Callithrix jacchus: one gene and its partner. The protein of the gene in region 1 purifies or fractionates together with the protein of each later gene. This does not show direct contact. Links are inferred from orthologs where the notes say so. Each region holds a gene or a part of one and is shown on either strand. Other genes may lie near its edges.

Region 1 (10,557 bases):
CAGCAGCTGCCCTGGGAACTGTTGGACATGCACATTCTCAGGCCTCATCCCAGACCTGCTGAATCAGAATGTGGGGAAGGAGCCCAGCAACTGCTGTTTTAAGGACTCCCTGGCAATGCTGGCACTCACTCAAGTTTGAGACGGGACCAGGACGGCAGCTCTCAACCCTGCTGCTAGCTACAATCCCCCCTGGGAAGGTTTGAAATGCCAATGCCCAAGCCTCACCCATAGATTCTGATGCCACATACGTCAGTATCAAATGCCTCTCCCCAAGTGCTCCTGCTGCCCCACGAGGAGCACTGAGAACCCTGAGGAAGGAGGGAGAAGGGAACAGAGGGAGAGAAGTTGGTTTTAGCTCTGGTTTTCCCGTGTTGTTTAATTTTTTGGGGGAGGTGGGAATTCTTGAGGTAGCATCAGAAGTCACTTGCCAAGGGTAGTAGGCACATACGCAATGGGAGAGCAAAACAGTTTGCAATCATCACTGAAAAAGATGAGAGAGGAAGGAGTTGCCTGAAGACCAAGGACAGAAATCCAAAAAGGCAGGCAGAGACCAGTGAAGGGCAGCCAGACAGCCCTGAAAGCCGAGTCCATGGCACCCAGACCGCCTTCTCCAAGGGTCATCCATCCCCAGTCCAGATGCGGAAGGAGTGGGGGCCGAGTCATGGTGGGGTCTGTAGAAAGCAGCAGCAGGGCCACCTCTGGGCAAAGTGTGAGCTCCGGGGAGTTGGCTCAGGTGAGAAGGCACAGAAAGCTGCCCCTCCGCATGTCACGTGACCCATCTGCACACAGTCCTCCTCTATCACCACCCCCTCGCTTTACCCACATCCTCATCTGCACTAAGGCTGTCCAAGCTATGAAGACTCGAGGCAGGGATTCTCACAGCATCCATTGTTAAACTGGCCTGAAGGTCGCTGCCATAGTTAGAATGAGCCCTATCAGTGTTAGGGACAAATGGATGCCCACCTGATTTCACAGTGTCCAGACACCTGGGCTTTTTCCTAACTGGAGGACTTGGAGCTCACCCACTGCCTACTTCCCATGCCTATGATTCTTCCTGGGTTCCCTGTTCTGGTAACATGTCAACTATGTCAGACTGAATCGCTTGCCACCTAAAGGCCTTCCTGAAACCATCAGTGGGCCACCTGCTTCTCTACTACTTGGCCTCTGAACTCAACTGCCCACCCTAGCAGAAATCATCTTAAACTCCACCCAGAACCTTCCACCATATATCTGTCACCTCGCCTCTTCTCCCAAATACCCAACTGACCCCACTTCTAGCCTCTGCTACTATTGTCAATCTCTTAGCTCCAGCCTCGGCCACTTCTTGGCCAGCCTGGTGGTCTGGTCATCCTCACCCGCTGTCCCCTGAGCTCTACTTGCAGCCTGTCAGGCCATCAGGCAGCCTGGAATCCACTTTCAGCCTCAGGAGTCTAGAAAGCACATCAGACAAATGGCAGACGCTTCTTGTCAACCAAAATCTGCCCTGCACTTTTGCACCTGACTTAGTTACCAGCCGAGTCCCGCTAGCCAGCTCCCACATCCAACCCTCTTTCTGAATGTCACCTCACCCCATGGTGCTTCAGGCAGAACTCGTCACAGGATCCTCGTGGCCTCCCTGTATCTCCCTAACAGCACCCGCCCTGCCCTGGAGCCGTCAGTCCTGCCCGTGGACCTGCCCGCCGCCTGTGAGACCACATCAGTGTGTTCACCTTTACACACCCAGAAGCAGCCCTAGTATGTGGGAAACAGCAGTTAAGAATGGAAAAACTGACGGACCGCTATGTCAGGAGATTGAGACCAGGCTGGCCAACATGGTGAAACCATCTCCACTAAAAATACAAAAATTGGTTGGGCATGGTGGTGTACACCTGTAATGACAGCTATGCAGGAGGCTGAGGCAGAAGAATAGCTTGAACCTGGAAGGTGGAGGTTGCAGTGAGCTGAGATCGTGCCACTGCACTCCAGCCTGGGTGATAGAGCAAGACTTTGTCTCAAACCAAAACAGAATGGAAAAACCAGTCTCGCCCGTGTCACCACTGTGCCCGGCACTGGTGTCAGGTCACCACCTCTCCGAGTCTCAGAACCCCTCAACCGCTGCCCAGGCTATGATGCAAATGCCTTCAGACAAGACCTCTGGGTCAACAGTGTGCCCCACCCTCTGCAACCCCTTTGGTTTGGGTCCAAGAGCTGCCTTACCTCCCATCTTCTTACTTGGTTGTCCTCATTTTGGGGTGTCCAGCCAAACCCCTAGGGAGAAGTGAAGACATGACATCCTCTGGTGGACACCCTGGGGTGGAGGTTTCCAAGTTGCTCGAGGAGGAGGAGGTAACGAGCCACACACACAAGTCACAGAGCTGAGGAGAGCATTCATGACTGGACCCCCTGCACCACCACCCACCTGTGCCCAAGGTTCAGTCTCCTGGTCACCCCATTCACCAGGGCTGCTCTCACCAAATGTAACCTCCTGGTCACTGGACTCTGTGCGGGGACCTACCTGCCCCTCCTAGCCCAACTTCAACTTCCAGAACAGGTGGAATCAGCGAGACCCTGGTTGGGAGTTACCTTTTTAAAAATCAAGGGAAAAAACAAAGATACAGGACTCACAAAAACACAGGATTTTATTGCACCAAGATCTTGGCAACATGTGGGACTCCCCAGGCCCCTGGAGAGGAGGTGCAGCACACAGACAGGTGCAGCCATGCAACCAGGATGCGGGGCAGGTGAGAGAAAGGACCCGGGAGAGGCAGCGCTGTGCACAGGCCCCACTCCCTCCGGCTCCATTTCCAAGCACGAAACTCAATAGACCCAGATCCTAAGTCAATCAAGTTGACTGCTACGACAAAGGCGTGACTTACTGACATCTACCTCCATACGTGCACATCACCTAGAAGCTGAGCTCGTTTACTGGGCCTCATCTTTCCCCCCCATCTGGCTGATGGCTCCTGTGGAGGGAAGGGACGGGACTGCATCCAACAGTGATAAAGGCTGCAGAAGTCATCTCGTGCTCACCACTGCCCAAGAGTTAACCAACGTATGTTCCTCAGGAAATGGTTTTACAGTTTCTAGTGGAGAAGGGAAGAGACTGATTTGGAGGAGAGAAGGGAGAGAAAGGCAGGAGATAGATTCTGTGCTAGCAGACAACTAATTTTCAACTACAGAACATCACACAGAACACATGGCAGAGGAAACAGTTCACATTGGAATGCAAGTCAACACCTGAGAGGAAGAGGAACACACCCTGCCCACGAAGGCACGTGCTTTCCCTCCCAGGTAAGTTACAAAAGCCAGAGCGTGGAAGCCAGGCCCTCATCTTTGAACATTCAGAGACTGGTCCACAGGAGAGCGCAGAGGACACCCTGACCCGGTCAGGGCAAGCCTCCACTCGCTGCTGCTGGGACAGAGGCAGCCACACAGGAGCATGATTCTCTCCCACCTTTCTAAAAACAGAAATGTAAAAAGCGGAAGAAAATCCAAAAAGAGCCACCCACCCACATGGAAAAAATAAATGTATCTTCCCTTATTAAAAAGGCAATTCTTTCTACAACCAGTAACCACCCAGGTCTCAAGCACGGAGGCAGGAAGCAAACCTGCCCCAGGAAGAGGGGATGCAGACAGCGAGGCAGCCCCCCAGACGGCAGGACGCCTCCGGCCCCGCAGAGCCACACCGAAGCAGCTCTGAGTCCAACGCCAAGTCCATCTCCAGCTGCGATGACGCCGGGGGAAAACGCCAGGGAGAGACCCGGCAAGGAAGGGTGTTCATTGTCACCTTCACGCTTCCCACTCCTATGAGGGCATCTTTTTCTTGAAAACATCCCCTTCTCTGAGGATTTCCCATATTTATTTAATTACAAGTTGGCAGGCACAGCTTGAGCAAGATAGAAAAGTAATCTTCTTGAGTTATACAATCATTTAAATTCCAAAGCACTCACAAAATTGGGCAAACAAAGCCACTATTTGCATATCTGGGAAAGGAAATATATTGCTAATGGAAGCCACGGGCCTGGTCAAAAATAAATGTTTTGTATTAAGTAGTAAAATAAATGGAGAATTCTCCCCCAAGGCCCCCACCTCAGTGAAGACCTGTGGGTTATTGCATCTGCGAAGGAAGCCACAGCACAGCCGTCTCAGAATCGACAGTGGCCTTGAAAGCAGATGTATTTGCAGGTAATATCAAGGGCTCCCCGGACCCCAGACAGCCTCTGCTCTGCAGGACAGTCAAGAGTTACTCACAAGGAAGGGCTGCACAGCAGCGTCACCCTCTTGAGTTCCATAAAAGGGAGAGGTGGCTGGCTGGGGTTGGCCTCAGGGCTCTTCCTTTCTAAGGACAGGTAAGGCCAAAAGACAAAGGGGCCCCACCAAGGAAGCAGGGAGGGCAGGCTCAGACACAACGGTATCGCCAGCCCCAAGGAGCAAGGAACGGCTCACCAAGAGCAACCAGCCACGCACCGGGAGGCCACCTGGGAGACGAGTGGCCATCATCCCCCACTCTCTCGATAGCCCCAACTAGGGACAGGAGCCTCTGTCAGCACAGACACCGTCCATGAACATGAGATCACGCAGCCCGACGCAGATGTCTAGCAGGCGTACGGCCACCTCTGCTCCCCCCACACACTGGAGCTTCTCTTGCAGGACTGGTTGGAAATGTCACCAGAGGTCCCAATCTAGAGAAGCCTCAAAGGCTCTACATCGGGTCGTCTGTGGACACTGATACTGGGAGAGCTCCTACCATGGCAGCAGAGCCCACACAGAAGGCTCCCTCAGGTCCACATGGACAGGTTCCAGGAAGGGACGCCTTGTCTCCAGGAGGCTGCAGAACAAAGCATAGCAGTCCTGACGGTGAGAAACAGGACATCTTCCCATGGCCACCCTCGGTGTGGGTCCAACCCAGGAACCCAAGGCACAGCACCTCGATGCAGCCGGCAAACCCCACACACCTTTCTTCCAAGTGACCAGGACATGCCAGATATACACACCCCACATTCTACACACCCTTTGGCAAGTGAGGGGACACACGCCAGATATACACACACCGCATATCTCACACATATTGCACACACAACCCACACACCCTTCTGCAAGTGACCAGGACACACACCACAAATGCGCACACACTACAGGCACCCCCTTATACACATATATCCCACACACACTTTTCTCCAAGTGACTAGGACACATACCACAGATGCACCTACATCAGATACACACCACCTAACATACACGTGCCAGATACACAGCCCACATACATCACACACAAACACACACACGACACACCCCACCACACCCTCTATACACAACCCCCCCCCACATACACACAAACCCCCCCACATGGCCCCCCCACCCTCATGCCCACCCCCTAGGAACCGACCTCTTCCACAGCGGTGCTGTCAGCGGCGGTAGCTGAGACTGGCAGCCTTTGCTGGGTGAGTCACGGACCAAAAGTTCCGTCGAGTCTGAAGTTTCTGGAAGGCATTGAAGTTTCTCCTCTTCTCTCTCTTATATTTTTTAATTTTCTTTTCCTAGACCAAGAATCACAGGTATCACAGTTCCCAAAAAGGTTCTTTCCTGGCTCATGGGGCTCCATGCAGTTCACCAGCTTCCTGCGAACAGGCAGGGCTCTCGAGAGCTCTCTGGAGACCCACTCTTCACAACTACCCCTTCGCACGGCACCCTGCTGTCCCCCTCTACTGACAAAGCTGCAGAAGCTGCGAGGATGTATGCCCTGTCCACGGCCACCCGCCCAGACAGGCCTGGGCAGCCTGGCTCTTATGCTCAGCTGCTTCACACCGCTGCTGCCACCTCCAACTGCCCTGGTCACATGCAGTTCCCTGCCCCGGCCCTAAGCTGAGACACGCCACCCTGCTGCCTCAGGCCTGTGGGCACCATTAAGCATCATACCTTCCCTCTGTCAAACTCTTCGTCCCAGTTGTCAATCACGGTATGGGTCCGGGCCAGTCTGCTCTCTTCAATAGCATCCTGGCTAACCGCCGACACCTTGCCATCCCAGGTCAGAACTACCAGGCAGACACAGGTGTGAGCGAGCGTGCAGGTTCGTAGGTACCCTGTGGCTTCACTTCAAGAGTGTCATTTACCAACAAGACTAGTCTATACTCACAGTCAGTCAACAATTTTGAGCGCCATCTTGTGGCGAACAGAAGGACAAGAGGAGGACAGCTGGATACCCTCTCAGCTAAACCCTAACCCATGACCGCACAGTTCAGTTCTCTCTAAACCCATGACCTCGTCTGAGGAACAAGGATTTCATGTTCTGCCTTGAAGTCTGAATAAAATCCTGCTCCAAGTAAGAAGCGACACTGCCTACATTGGAAGAGCTTTGCCACTCTGCCCGTGTCCTACCCAAGACCAGCATGTGTTGGGCTCCTCACCCTGCCCAACCCTCAGAAGCAGCTGTTCTGAATCCTGCACGGATGGAAGCCACCTTCATGTCACAGCTGAGGGTTTAAAGAGGATTCCAGCAAGCGCTGAGGTTCTTCTTCCTACTCTCAAGTGATGCCCGCCCTCCACACTCACAGTACACTAGGGTCCATTCCACACCTTCCCTCATCCAGAATAAACCAATCAAGGGCCAACAAGTGCTGTCTCAAAGCCAGTACCTTTTCTCCCGTAAGCTTTATCCGATGAGTATTTGAGCAGTTCCTGTACCACATCAGACTCTTGCTCTCCATTCCAAGACACAGGAGGGGCTGGGTCCAGCCCTGCAATCAGAGCAGCCAAGAAACATTTATCAACATTGAAAATAACCCACCAGGGAAACAACCGCTTATCTCTTTTTTCCTTCTTCTAAGATAGGGTCTCACTATGTTGCCCAGGCTGGTTTCAAACTCCTGAGGACTCAAGTGATTCTCCTGCACTGGCCTCCCAAAGTGCTGGGATTATAGGCATGAGCCATGTTCTGCCTCGTTGTCCCAGTCGTCAACCACGGTCTGGGTCCGGGCCAGTCTGCTCTCTTCAATAGCATCCTGGCTAACCGCCGACACCTTGCCATCCCAGGTCAGAACTACCAGGCAGACACAGGTGTGAGTGAGTGTGCATTAGGTGCCCAGCCTAAATGCTTATTTACTAAAGTTCTGATGAAACAGAGAAGGCTGTTGTCCAAGTCAATTCATGAAAAAGAAAACATGCAAAATAACAAAAAGCTTGGAAGCAAAAAAACCCTCCAAACCCTCCTTAACCAGCAGTGTAAGTTCTCAGTCTGTCAGAGGGAGGGAAGAAAACCAGATCCAAATGGACTCCACTTCACCTAAGGGAGAGGCCCTGGGCCCCAGGACCAGCCCGACACCTGAATGGCCACAGAGATGAAGGGAACGGCCAAGCTTGGCTGCTGCCATGGGGACCCCGACCTGAGCCCTGTCCAGGGGGAACCTAGTCCCCATCAGCAATGCTGTGCAGGTCCACCATGCACGTCGGGACAAGGACAGCACTCAGCACCCTCAATGGGTTGTAGAGACCGTTTCTGAACTAGTCCTCTGCCCAGCCAGCCACAAAGCCCCTGGAATAAACTCACCTTCCTTCATACAAATGACCTGCAGGGTGCTGTGTGAAGGGGTTGTTGTGAAGAGTGCATCTCCAGAGAGCTTGCAAGAGCCCTGCCTGTTAGCAGGAAGCTAATGACCTCGCCTCTCCCTGCCTCCAATTCTCAATCACCTCCAGACTAAGTGTCCTCTGCCCTGGCACAACAGCATCCATGGCTCCCTCTTGTCCACACAGTTCAGGGACCTGGCCACGCAGAGCAGTGTGCCTGGTGCCAACGTGCTGCGCCTCCTGCCTTTGGGGCTGGTACCCTGCCCATTTAGCCACTCTCCTTGGTGCACAGTACAGAGGGTGGATGGGGCCAGGCACTCTCCCACAGAGCCCATGCAGCCCCCAGTGCCTGCCTGCTGAGCATGAACCATCACTGTGCGGTTCTGCCTCTGGCAGGGAGTCCTGAGGGCCCAGGGAGCACTGCTCAGGATGTACAGCCAGCACCTGGCATGCACCCGGCATGGACCCGGGCATACCGCAAGTGCTCAAGTGATGTCCCTCAAATTCCTGCACTAACAAGCCAACTCCGCTTTGCTGCGAGGGCAGCACAGAGCACAGCTCAGGCACAATATTGGTGCAACGTTTTCTTTTGTTATAGCACAAGTTACGTATTTCAAAAGGACAAGAAGTTAGTATCATTTACAGTATCTTGAGATAAATTTCCTTGTCAGGCACGGTGGCTCAAGCCTGTAATCCCAGTACTTCGGGAGGCTGAGGTGGGTGGATCATGAGGTCAAGAGATCAAGACCATCCTGGTCAACAAGGTGAAACCCCATCTCTACTAAAAATATAAAAAATTAGCTGGTCGTGGTGGCGCACGCCTGTAATCCCAGCTACTCGGAAGGCTGAAGCAGGAGAATTGCCTGAACCCCAGAGGCGGAGGTTGCGGTGAGCCAAGATCACACCATTGCACTCCAGCCTGGGTAACAAGAGCGAAACTCCGTCTCAAAAAAAGTGTCCTTTGAATGAGAGCTTCCTTTCCAGTACTTTGAGGTCTACAAGGTGTACCTAGAAAATTTACTACTGTGGAAAATGACTGCTTAAATCTAATGGGGGGGGGGGAAGGCCTGTGGTTTTTCTTTTTGATTAATTGCTGTAACACTGACCTTCAGGCAGCTGAGGGAATTTCGTATTTTCTTTAGACATCATTAGGCGCTGAAGCTCTTGTAGGACAATATTGATGCTATATGAATTCTGCCATTTTGCTAGCACTGATATGACTCTTGGGTCCACCACTCCATTAGAACTATTAACTCCATTCGTATTAATTTTTGTTACAAATCTTACAAAGGGGGGTGCTTCTTGGTATTTAAGGCCACATTCTATTTTAAGGCTGTATATTTGGTTTTCATAAACTGTCCGAGCCTGTGGTGGCTGCCATCTTGTGTCGCTGTCACTTGAAGGCCTGCCTCTTCTTTACCCCCACCCGTCGCCTCAGTGCAACGCTTCTGACAGCATGCTGGCCAGCACCACAGTCGGCGCCAGCTCGCGCCCGTGTTCCACAATCTATTCCATACCATTTCATTTTTATCGATAAATTCCTTTCTTAAGAGTTGGATTAATACAAATCAGTCTCCTGATTCAGGGTTCTGTTGGCCCCCAGATGCACTGCCATAATCGGATCTTCCAGACCACAGAGGAGGCCTCACTCAAGCTCGTTCCCCCATACCAAGCCGCCAGGACGTTCTCTACCCTTCACTTAACAAATGTGTTCTGTGGTGGGTGCCTGCCAAGGCATGCCCGACCAAGTCCTAAAGAAAACAAAAGACCCTCCAGCTGGGGGTGGTGCCCAAGCACAGCCACAGCACACAGGTCCCCAACACCAAGAGCACCATGCTATGTTCTGAAAGGCCCAACTACATAGAGGTAGAGGAGAATTAACTTTTGAACCCCACCCTTCTAAATTCAAGCGTCACAGAAAAAAACTCAGGCTGGGAGTTCAGGGAGTCATTCCATGGGAAGCTGTAGACAGGAACAGCTTTGAATCGGAAGACCCACGGTAGTCACAGAATGTTCTAAAGTTCATGTGCACTGTAACCTCTCCCATGGGTCGTTTCAGTCAAATGCTTTGACATGTAAGGAAGCTTTGACCCCATCACCCAAGGGAACAGACTCGGGGGTTGTGGCTGAAGGTTGGCAGGATCCTCCACATCTTCTCCCAGACCCTCCCCCAAGCTCAAACACAGTAGGTACTGCTCTCAGCCTGTAAGCTCACCAACACCCCCCCTCGCCCAAATGCATACCCATGTGGTCCCCAGGACACCAGCCATTCACAGACGGCGCATGGCTGCTGGACTCAGGGACAGCAACGTCTTGGGACTTGGCACTCCTCGGGTCTTCGCAATGTCTGTCCTCTTCTACTGCCTGCTGTGGCTCCTGCTTTCTTTTTTTCTTTTTCTTTTTCCTTGGAGACTCTTCCATGGCCTCTGGGTCACCGTCACCCATGCGAGAGCAGCTGCTGGGAAGTGAGAGGCAACAGTCAGCTCTGAGCAAGTTGGAAGGGAAGCAGGAGCTTACACCCACCCCACCTGCAGGATGGAGAGGTCGCCATCCCAGCTGTGACCCAGGGAGCTCACAGACACCTGCCGGCAGCATGGAGAAGATGCCACCTCAGCTGTGACCCAGTGCACAGGGCTCCCTGTAACATTCTTCTACACGCATTAGCGGATGCTCTACACACAGCCACATTTCCCATCCTAACTGAGCCAAGCCTGCCAAAGCCAATGTGCAGGCTGCCTGGGACCTGATATGACTGCAGAGCCTACCCCGGCCAGGGATCACCTAACCCAGTATTCGTGGACAGCCCTGCTCATACAATGATGGACACTACTGTCCACACCACTGTCATTTCAAGGACCAATCCACTGGTATTTATCAGAGGAGATTTTTTTTTTTTTTTTTTGAGACAGAGTCTGGCTGTCACCCAGGCTGTAGTGTAGTGATGCAATCTCAACTCACTGCAACCTCCGCCTCCTGGGCTCAAGCCATTCTCCCACCTCCGCCTCCTGAGTAGCTGGG
Region 2 (10,557 bases), about 28 Mb from region 1:
CTGTCCAGCCCCATTCTGGGCACCCAGACGGATCCACCAGTGAGGTGTGTGTACCTATTACCAGGCTCCAGATGAGGTGTATGGGATGGGATGCCCAGGTACCAGATCAGCTCATTGAGAAGGTGCAGGGATACAATGCACAGAGACAGATACAGCGTTCCTATGACAGGAGCAGGGAGACAGTTGTTGGGATGAGGGAGAGTATAACAAAAGCTGGAAGGTAAATGAGTGACTTCTGAGAACCAGCATAAATTGCATTTGTCCATAGTGCTATTTATTGTGTGCCTTTGCCATGCCAGGCACTGTGCTAGCATTTATATCCACTGTCTCTCATCCTTGTGGGAACCAGCAAGGCAGGTTATGATCCCATGGGGGTCCCAAGGCCCCAAGAGGGGAAGTAAATTGCTCAGGGGGCCACATAGTAAGTCACTGACAGGGCCACGATTCCAACCCACATCTACTTGCTTCTGATTCCCATGCTTGTTCCACCACATCTCATTGCCTCACATTTACCTTTAAGACTGCAACGTCCCCTTCCCCCGCCCAGTTTAATGACCAACCATTGATATTAATGACTGCCATTAATAATGAAGTCATCTTTTCTTGGTCATGAGCGAATTGTGGAAATTAATGGTGAGAATATGTTTGAACACTTCTGAATCATCTGTGTGTCATACGGCTTTTTGGTTTTCTTCCTCCTTTTAGGGCTATCGCAAAGTGATCATTTCAACCAACATCGCTGAAACCTCCATAACCATTACAGGAATAAAATATGTAGTTGACACGGGCATGGTTAAAGCAAAGAAGTATAACCCTGGTGAGAATTCGTAGTTCATGAATGTCTCTCCTGTGACTAGTGAGCAACCACTGAAACTGTAGTCCCACAGTGTTCCCCTGAGTGAGTGTTTGATGTTTGTAACGAACAGATTCGGGTGGCAGGCACCACGGGTGAGATAATCTACAATCTGAGTCCACAAAGGAGTCCTGAGGCAGGTATGTGAGACAGGAAGTAGAGGCAGAAAAGAACCCAGGTTTAGCTTATGTGGGAAGACAGGGTCAGGGACCTGGGCAGAGGGTCTGGTACCCTATCAGAAGTTGCTGTAAGACCAGGGACAGCTGGGTAACAATCGAAGGCTCTCATCAGAAAGTATATATATGGCTGGTTTGATCTCCCAGGTTTCCCAGGAAGGAATCAGACCCGCCGGCTGGGGTGAGGCATGGAAGGTGAAGCACTGGCTTCTCCTGAGAAGGTGCAGTGGAAAGCTAACTTAAGGTCATCTTTACTTGTATCTGTTTTATACTTTGCTTAATTCCACAGAGGATTTAAGGCCACTGCATTTGTTGTTCCCAGTTATTGAACTGAAATGCTGTAGTAAACATTCGAGGGTCCTGACTTCACTCATGTGTCTTTTTGAGATGACATAGATGAAAGAGCTTGAGTCTCCATTGCCTGGCACAGAATACACCTTTATCAAGGAAATGAACCTCATTTACTGCTGGAAAACAGACATCACAGTATTTCCATCTTAAAACAGAACTGGGAGGGAGGATAAAGCACACAAGTGATTTGAGACATTTAATTTCTGAGTCACTGATAGTATGATCTATGACCACCATCCTAGTTTGTTGGAACTGTCCCGGTTTTAGCACCCCAAATCCCACATCCCAGGAAACCCTCTGTCCCAAGCAAACTGGAGGGGTTGGCCATCCTGCCATCTAAGCCAAGACCTCGGAAACTATGCTTCTGGCCCCTTGCTGCATGCATGAGGTTTTTCTGATGTGTTTGGAACAGATTTCACACCGGGCTTTTTGCAAAGCCTTATTTCACTAGGGCCAAACCACTGCGGAGCAACCTGGTTTTGCGCTATCCAATGTGCTAGTGTTGAGATTTTCTGAACCCCAGTGTTGCTGAAAGAACCACGGGTGTACTTTTTTCAACACTAGAAAGAGTTTGTTCATGTGATAAAGCACTAATGGGGCTCACTCTCCATCCAGACAGTGGTCTTGAGGTGTTAGCAGTGCAGCGGGTATCGAAGACCCAGGCCTGGCAGCGCACAGGGAGGGCTGGCCGAGAGGACAGTGGCATTTGTTACCGGCTCTACACGGAGGAGGAGTTTGAGAAGTTTGATAAGATGACTGTGCCAGAGATCCAGAGGTAGGCACTAGGCTCCTGCACTGCTGCTGTTTGTCCCCATGTCTCTCCCGCTTGCCCAGAGCTGCCGCTTTTACTCACACTCCTTGTCGAGTGGTTCTGACTCACTGGTAGAGGGATCAGGTCATGACCCTGGTCTCACGCTCTTCACAGGTGTAACCTGGCCAGTGTCATGCTTCAGCTTCTAGCAATGAAAGTCCCAAATGTGCTCACCTTTGACTTCATGTCCAAGCCATCTCCAGGTAAGTGAAATCCACAGTTTTGCAGAAGGTGGGTGAAGAGAAAAACAACAAATGGACGTGTCCAAAAATAAAATATTTTGGTCATCCCCTTTTGTTTATTTAATTTTGTGGATAACAACATTAACTATTTGAGAAGCATCTTAAAATCATGAAATCGTAGATAGATAAGTTGATTGACTTTAAAGAGACAGGGTCTCACTGTGTGGCCCAGGTGGGAGTACAGTGTCTATTCACAGGTTCCATCATAGTGCACTACAGCCTCCAACTCCTGGGCTCCAGTGATCCTACCACCTCAGCCTCCCAAGTAGCTGGGGCCACAGGCATGTGTCAATGCTCCTAGCTGTGAAATTATAGATTCTGTACTATCAGCACCATCCATAAGGTTCCTTGACCTCTAGAACAAGTGAAGGTCATCATGTGAGTTCTTGGGGTACTGCAGAAATTTAATGAAATTGTACTTTTATCAGCACAGGGACTGCAGAGATCACATTTCTTTGCTTTTCACTGGAATTTGATCAGTCTCTTCTGTTCATTAGTAATTTCTCTATAGAGGAAGAAAATAACTGGAATTCTTTATGAGAGTAGCTTTGGTACCTGGCCTCTCATCAGTGCATCATTTTCCTTTTCCTCCCACCCCCACCCTTTTCTTAAGAAATGCAATTGGTTTAAAAAGAAAAAGGAGGCCAGGTGCAGTGGCTCACACCTATCTATAATCCCAGCACTTTGGAAGGCTGAGGTGATCCACCCACCTCAGCCTCCCAAAGGAGGAACTCCTGATCTCAGGGGTTCAAGACCAGCCTGGCCAACATGAAACCCCATGTTTGAACCCCAGGATGAAACTTCATCTCTACAAAAATACAAAAATTAGCCAGGCAGGGTGGTGGGGGCCTGTAGTCCCAGCTACTCAGGAGGCTGAAGCAGGATAATTGCTTGAACCTGGGATGTGGAGGTTGCAGTGAGCCGAGATGGCACAACTGCACTTCAGCCTGGGTGACAAAAATAAAAACAGAGAGGAAGGGAAGGGAAAGGGGAAGTGGGGGGAGAGGGGGGAGCGGACGGAGGGAAGGAGGAAGGAAGGGAAGGAAGGAAGGGGAAGGGGAGCGGGAGGGGAGGGGAGCAAGGGAGGGGAGGCTGGGAGAAAGGAAAAACACGAAGTAACCCATTGATGGGTATACAAGGGTCCTGCCCTGATCCTCAGGTTCATAGTTTTTTCCCCTAGAACAACCACTGGAACCATTTTTTAGTAGACTTCTAGAGCAATGTATGCATATGTGAGTATATGTAGTGTGTTTAATTTATTTATTTTTGAGACAGGGTTTCACTCTGGTTTTCCAGGCTAGAGTGCAATGGCTCCTTCTTGGCTCACTGCAGCCTCAACCTCCCACATCAGCTTCCCGAGTAGCTGGGACTACAGGTGTGAGCCACCAAGCCACCCTGTAGTATGTTTTTGTTTTGTTTCTCTGGTTTTTTTTTTTTTTTGAGACAGAGTGTCGTCACTCTGTCGCCCAGGCTGGAGTGCAGTGGTGCCATCCCAGCTCACTGCAGTCTCCACCTACTGGATTCAAGTGATTCTCCTGCCTCAGCCTCCCAAGTAGCTGGGACTACAGGTGTGCACTGCCACACCTGGCTAATTTTTGTATTTTTTAATAGAGACAGGGTTTCACCACGTTGGCCAGGCTGGTCTTGAACTCCTGACATCAGGTGGTCCTCCCGCTTCAGCCTCCCAAGGGCTGGGATTACAGTCATGAGCCACCATGTTCAGCATGTAGTATGTTTTAAAACACAAATAGCAACACACATTGAGCACTGTTCCATGCTTGATTTTTTTTTCATTGCTAAATCCTGACAAACAAAAGAATAAGATACAGAGGGGTAAGGAATGATTAAAATCCAACACCTGTATACCCAGTCGAAGCCCTGAGGACCCCTCCCTGGCTGCCCTCACCTCCTTTCACTCCCTTGGGGTAACCACTCCCCCACATCGTGTTTGTAATTGCCTTGCTTTTCTTTATTTTACTATATGCATATGTATCCCTAAACCACCTGTTGTTTCAGGTTGTAAGTTTATGTAATTCATTCCTTATTAAGCTGTTTTCACTCAGTATGTTCTGTACAGTTTGTGTTGATGCTTTTACACACTAAGTGCTATTCCATTCTGTGAATAAACGAAAATGCATTTATCCATCCTCCTATTGACAAAATTGCTTTAAAAAAACAGTGAAAAGCACATTGCTTTTTTTCATTTAATACACTTTACAGATCATTCCTTATTGGGATATATATATTTACTACATCTTTAAAAATGCTTTTTTATTCTCTAATAGATAATATATATACAAGGTTCAAAGTTTAAAAAATATAAAATAGTAAATAGTAATAATGTCCTTCTCACCTTCTTGTCTCCCAGCCTCCCAGCTGGCCTCTGACACAACTGGTATTTCCATTGTTTTGTGTTTGGTTCTGGCAATATGGTCTCTGTGCAATGTATGAGTAAATCTACAGGTGAAACTCATAAGTGTAACACTGATGGGTCAATGGATGTATATATTCAAACTCTACATACATATCGCCAAATTACAGGTCACTTAAAAAGGGCATGGTGGCTTACGCCTGTAATCCTAACACTGGAAGGCTGAGGCAGGCAGATACCCTGGGGTCCAGAGTTCAAGACCAGCCCGGCCAACATGGTGAAACCCTGTTTCTACTAAAAATACAAAAATTACCCAGGCGTGGTAGTGTGCGCCAGTGGTCCCAGCTACACAGGAGGCTGAGGCAAGAGAATCGCTGGAACCTGGGAGGTGGAGGCTGCAATGAGCCAGGATCACCCCATTGTACTTCAGCCTGGGCTACAGAGCAAGACTCTGTCTCAAAAAAAGAAAAGGGAATTGAACTGAAGACAGTGATGTCATTCTTCAACACGTGCATCGGGGGGTAGTGGTGGTTGCAAGTTTTGCTATTGTTTGATGTAGAGTTATCAAAAGCTCCCAGAAATACTGAACTAGCTGCAACTTTATCCTTTCTGGATTTTCGGCTCCTTTTTATGTCTCTGTTTCTTTAGATCACATTCAGGCGGCCATTGCCCAACTGGACCTGTTAGGTGCTCTTGAACATAAGGATGACCAGCTTACCCTGACTCCAATTGGAAGAAAGATGGCAGCATTTCCTTTAGAACCCAAATTTGCCAAAGTAAATGATACCCTCTCCTCAGTCCCCTTTCTGTACATTACAGGTTAGCCATCCCAAAGTAGAACCATTAACCCAGTGCTTCTAGATTAATCTCACTTTTTCTCTTAAATAATTACCAACCCCTAGTTTGCATATAACCCTGATATATGTTCAGTGTGGGATTCAATGATACCAAGTCAAGAGTCCTACCCATAAGAAATTTGGAACTCTGGGCCAGGCACAGTAGCTCATGCCTATAATCCCAGCTCTTTGGGTAGCTGAGGCGGGTGGATCACGAGGTCAGGAGTTCAAGACCAGCCTGGCCAAGATGGTGAAACCCCATCTCTACTAAAAATTACAAAAAAATTAGCCAGGCGCAGTAGCACGCACCTGTAATCCCAGCTACTCAGGAGGCTGAGGCAGGAGAATCACTTGAACCCGGGAGGTGGTGGTTGCAGTGAGCCGAGATCATGCCACCGCACTCCAAGTTGGGTGACAGATCAAGGCTCTCAGAAAAAAAGGAAAAATATTTGGAACTCTGTAGGGAAGGCAGTCATCTGTTTTATTTCATATTAAAGAGTAAAATAACACTAATGTACATAGCCATGGTTTCAGAAATACCTGCCCTTTAACTCCTTAGAAAGGAACCTGCAAAAGCAATATGCAGAGATAGTGTATTCTAAAGCTGGGAGAAAGTTTACACAATTTTAAATTTTGGTTTGCAGACCATCCTTCTGTCCCCCAAATTCCACTGTACAGAGGAGATCCTAACCATTGTCTCCCTGCTGTCTGTGGACAGCATCCTCCACAACCCTCCTTCCCGGCGGGATGAAGTACAAGGGGTCCGGAAGAAGTTCACATCCAGTGAAGGGGATCACTTTACCCTGCTCAACATCTATCGGACCTTCAAAAACATAGGTGGAAATAAGGTGAGCCTTGTCTTGTTCCTTTTCTCCAGTGACAGCTGCTTTCCCTTCTTCGCTGGTATGTGATTCCCTTTTTGTACTGAAGGCGTATACATACTACGTTTTCCCTTTTTAGCTGAATTATCTAAAGAATCACAAAACGAAAGCCAGACATCATTTTAGAAATGTCTGAATACTGGGCAATTACCAAGGAAGATGTGTCATTCCGGTCTTTGTTTTGAATGTGTTTAATTCAGCAAGACTTAAGTGACTCCCAACCCATCAAAATTTAATTGGAGCTTAATAAAGTAAATATGTCTAATAATGAGAGTGCATACCAATTAATGAGTGCTTATTCTGTGCCAAGCCCCATGCGAAGCACTTTTTAATGTATTATCTCATTTAGTATAATAATCCTAAGAAATGAGCACTGTTACTAGTTTTTATATTCATGAAACATATAGTCATGGAAATGAAGCTTTGTGTAGTTGAAAAACTTGCCCAGGGCCAGGCAGTTTCTCAAGCTTGTAATCCCAGCACTTTGGGAGGCCAAGGCAGGTGGATCACTTGAGCCCAGGAGTTCCAGACCAGCGTGGCCAACATGGCAAAACCCCATGTCTACTAAAAATACAAAATTTAGCCAGGCATGGTTGTACACACCTGTAATTCTAGCTACTCAGGAGGCTGAGGCACGAGAATCATTTGAACCTGGGAGGCAGAGGTTGCAATGAGCTGAAACCTTGCCACTCCAGCCTAGGTGACAGAGTGAGACTCTGTCTCCAAAAAAAGAAAAAAGATGATTATGGGCATGATGGCTAACGCCTGTAATCCCAACACTGTGGGAGGCCGAGGCAGGCGGATCACCTGAGGTCGGAAGTTCAAGACCAGCCTGACCAACATAGAGAAACCCCATCTCTACTAAAAATACAAAAATTAGCTGGGCATGGTGTTGCATGCCTGTAATCCCAGCTACTTTCGAGGCTGAGGCAGGAGAATCACTTGAACCCAGAAGGCGGAGGTGAGTTGAGATCGTGCCATTGCATTCCAGCCTGGGCAACAAGAGTGAATCTCCAACTCAAAAAAAAAAAAGGAAGGAAGGAGGGGAAGGGAGGGAAAAAGAAGCCTTATATAAATTGATTGGGCATTTATATTTCCTTTTCTGTGTCTGTTCATATCCTTTGTCTATTTTTCTACTGGGTTGTTGATCTTTTTCTTAATGACTTGTAGAGCTTTTAAGATTTATTCTCACCAGGTGTGGTGGCTCACACCTGTAATCCTAGCACTTTGGGAGGCCGAGGTGGGTAGATCACCTGAGGTCAGGAGTTTGAGACCAGCTTGGTGAAGAGTTCGAGACCAGATGGTGAAACCCTGTCTCTTAAAAAAAAAAAAAAGATCTATTCTGGAGATTCTAATCTTTCATTGGATATGATGATACAAATATTCCAATCTGGGAAACTTGAAGTTTTTCTTTAGTTTAAATTAATACTTTTCCTTATAATTCATGTTTTTTGATATAAAGATATTTTCCTACATTCCTTTTTTGGCACCTGAAGTTTTTCCTCTGAATTCAACTGTGTTCTAAAAACGTCATTATGTTCTCTCCATAGAGATGAGAGGATTGTTGGCTGGGCATGGTTGTGGCTGCAGATAGTTCAAGTTGTTTGGGAGGCTGAGGTGGGAAGATGGGTTTGCAGTGAGGTAAGATTGTATCACTGCACTCTAGTCTAGGCAACAGAGCAAGATGCTAGCTCTATAAACAAATAAATAGTGAATGAATGGGTTGTACTATCACCCTTTCTCCTATTCAGGATTGGTGCAAAGAGAATTTTGTCAACAGCAAGAATATGATGCTGGTAACTGAAGTCCGAGCACAGCTGAGGGACATCTGCTTAAAGGTATTATCTGTTCCTAGTGTTCTTTGGGTGACATAGCTGTCACTTTGTTCAAGGTAGAATTTTTAAAGTGCTTATTGCTAGTGATTATAAAAGGAATTCTCATTGTAGAAAATTTCACAAAGAAGGAAAAAAGTTACCCACAATTCCACATCTCAGTAGTTTAGTCTGTTTCCTGATAGCCTGTTTTTTATTGCATGTTTTTACATAGTAAATTACATGATATGTATAATTTATATTTGGTTTTATAATCTTCATAAGCATTTTCCAGAGTTAGAATTCTTTATAAGAATTTTTTTTAGTGGGAATATCGCCATTATTTTCTTTGAGATTACAAAAGCAGTGCTTAGTTGTTAAATACTGACACAATGCAGAAAATAGTAATTTATAATGTAGAGAGTTTAAAAGTCTCCCATAATCCTGCTCCTCCAGAGATAACTGCTGTTAACAGTTTGAGGCAGATCCTTCTAGAATTTGTTTCTGTTTGTATGTTTTTGTGCATATGTGTGTGTGCCTGTGTGTGACTACACAAACACATGGATATGTGTATATGATGTACATGTTCCACAACTTGCTTTTTTCCGCGTGACACATTTCTTTTTTTCTTTTTATTATTTGTGATGGAGTCACAATAATAGCCTGCACTCCAGGCTGGAGTGCAGAGGCACGATCTTGGCTCACTGCAACCTCTGCCTCCCAGTGAAAAGCAGTTCTCCTTCCTCAGCCTCCCGAGTAGCTGGGATTGCAGATATGCGCCACCACGCCTGGCTAATTTTTGTATCTTTAATAGAGATGGGGTTTCACCATGTTGGCCAGGCTGGTCTCAAACTCCTGACCTCAGGCGATCCTCCTGCCTTGGCCTCGCAAAGTGCTGGGATTCCAGGCATGAGCCACAGCACCCAGCCTCACGCGACATATTTCTTGAACACTTCCTGTGGCTGGGCTTTCAGTGCTGCATGTGTCTGTCTCATTCGTTTTGGTGACTTCATAGCATTTCATTGTATTCACTGCAATTTATTTAAGCCTCTAATGTCATTTTGGTTCTATTATAATGACCATCCTCTTCCATATGTGCTGTGGTGCACACAGAATGAATTTCTCAATGGGGGAATTTAGATTTTGTTAGATGTTGCCAAAGTGTCCACCGCAAAGTTTTATATTAGCTTTTTATTCCCTCTTAGAATACATGATGCTTTAAAGACCTGTCATGGTATAAATTAATGCTTGTATAATACATTTTATGTCAGAGGCAGAGGGTAGTTCAAGTGTTCTTTTGCTGTTGATCATGGAGACAGTGCCCATGGTTTTGCCGTCATAAGCAACTCTGTCTTGTGCCCCTCAGTACAGACGCTCCTGGGAGACAGTCACAGCCGGAACCCAGGCCTGTGTCTGATGCCAGCGGCCTATAGTTAGCAATAGAGCTGTTTTTCCTCTTAGTAGCCTGTTGTGTTCTGTCTTTTACACATTTGTTTAAACTGCTTTTGTATTTGAAGAGTTTCCTGCCAGTCTGTCTCTTGGCTTCATAAGTTTTCTCAATTTTTTATTAATAGAAGAAATGGTACTTCTCTATTTCTGAATTGAGGACTCTGTAGTGGCTGGGGATACCTCTCATTATATGCCAGGCACTGGTCAAGGTCCTGAGACTTTACACTCCTGCCTCCGCAGTAACTAAGTGGTAATCTAGACAGTGACCTGAATACATAGACCCCTGCCAGGAGGCAGTCATAATTAATCACTGTCATTTATGAGGCATTTGTTCAGGCACTGTTCTGAATACTTTATATGTGATTCCCTTATTTAAACTCCTCATTTCTTTTTTAACTCAGACCTTGACCCAAAGGATAAAATCCTCATTAAAATTAATTCTGTTACATCATTTTACAAATGATGAAACTGAGCCTAATCGGGTTAAATAATTTGCCGAAATCACTCAGCCAGCAATGGTAAAGCTGATAGTCTGAAAGGAGAGACCACCAGTTAGCCTTTGAGGCTTCCTGGAGGCAGTGACAACTGAGCTAAATCTTGACAGATAAGAGATAAGAGTATCTTCCAGCTGGTTATGGTGGCTCAGGCCTGTAATCCCCAGCACTTTGGGAAGTGGGTGGATCACGAGGTCAGGAGTTCCAGACCAGCCTGGCCAACAGGAGGAAACCTTATCTCTGCTAAAAATAAAAAAAATAAGCTGGGCATAGTGGTACATG

What was found. The genes of interacting proteins can lie anywhere in the genome.
Region 2: the proteins of USP36 (region 1) and DHX33 purify together in Homo sapiens (affinity purification with mass spectrometry; 5 studies listed by BioGRID and IntAct, counting the BioPlex papers as one, with this or other methods). This does not show direct contact. The link is inferred for Callithrix jacchus from reciprocal best matches to the Homo sapiens genes USP36 and DHX33.

The regions. Positions count from the first base shown.
Region 1 is NC_133506.1:134,552,852-134,563,408, forward strand, and holds the end of USP36 (ubiquitin carboxyl-terminal hydrolase 36), read right to left. Parts: exon of another isoform or gene 10,498-10,557; intron 9,998-10,497; coding exon 9,783-9,997; intron 9,692-9,782; exon of another isoform or gene 9,639-9,691; intron 8,954-9,638; exon of another isoform or gene 8,490-8,953; intron 6,714-8,489; coding exon 6,612-6,713; intron 6,012-6,611; coding exon 5,896-6,011; intron 5,517-5,895; coding exon 5,385-5,516; 3' UTR 5,366-5,384; intron 4,808-5,365; 3' UTR 2,595-4,807; downstream 1-2,594. UniProt on the Homo sapiens protein: Deubiquitinase essential for the regulation of nucleolar structure and function. Required for cell and organism viability.
Region 2 is NC_133506.1:106,977,287-106,987,843, reverse strand, and holds part of DHX33 (ATP-dependent RNA helicase DHX33), read left to right. Parts: intron 1-705; coding exon 706-817; intron 818-1,995; coding exon 1,996-2,155; intron 2,156-2,305; coding exon 2,306-2,394; intron 2,395-5,452; coding exon 5,453-5,580; intron 5,581-6,284; coding exon 6,285-6,488; intron 6,489-8,272; coding exon 8,273-8,359; intron 8,360-10,557. UniProt on the Homo sapiens protein: Implicated in nucleolar organization, ribosome biogenesis, protein synthesis and cytoplasmic dsRNA sensing. Stimulates RNA polymerase I transcription of the 47S precursor rRNA.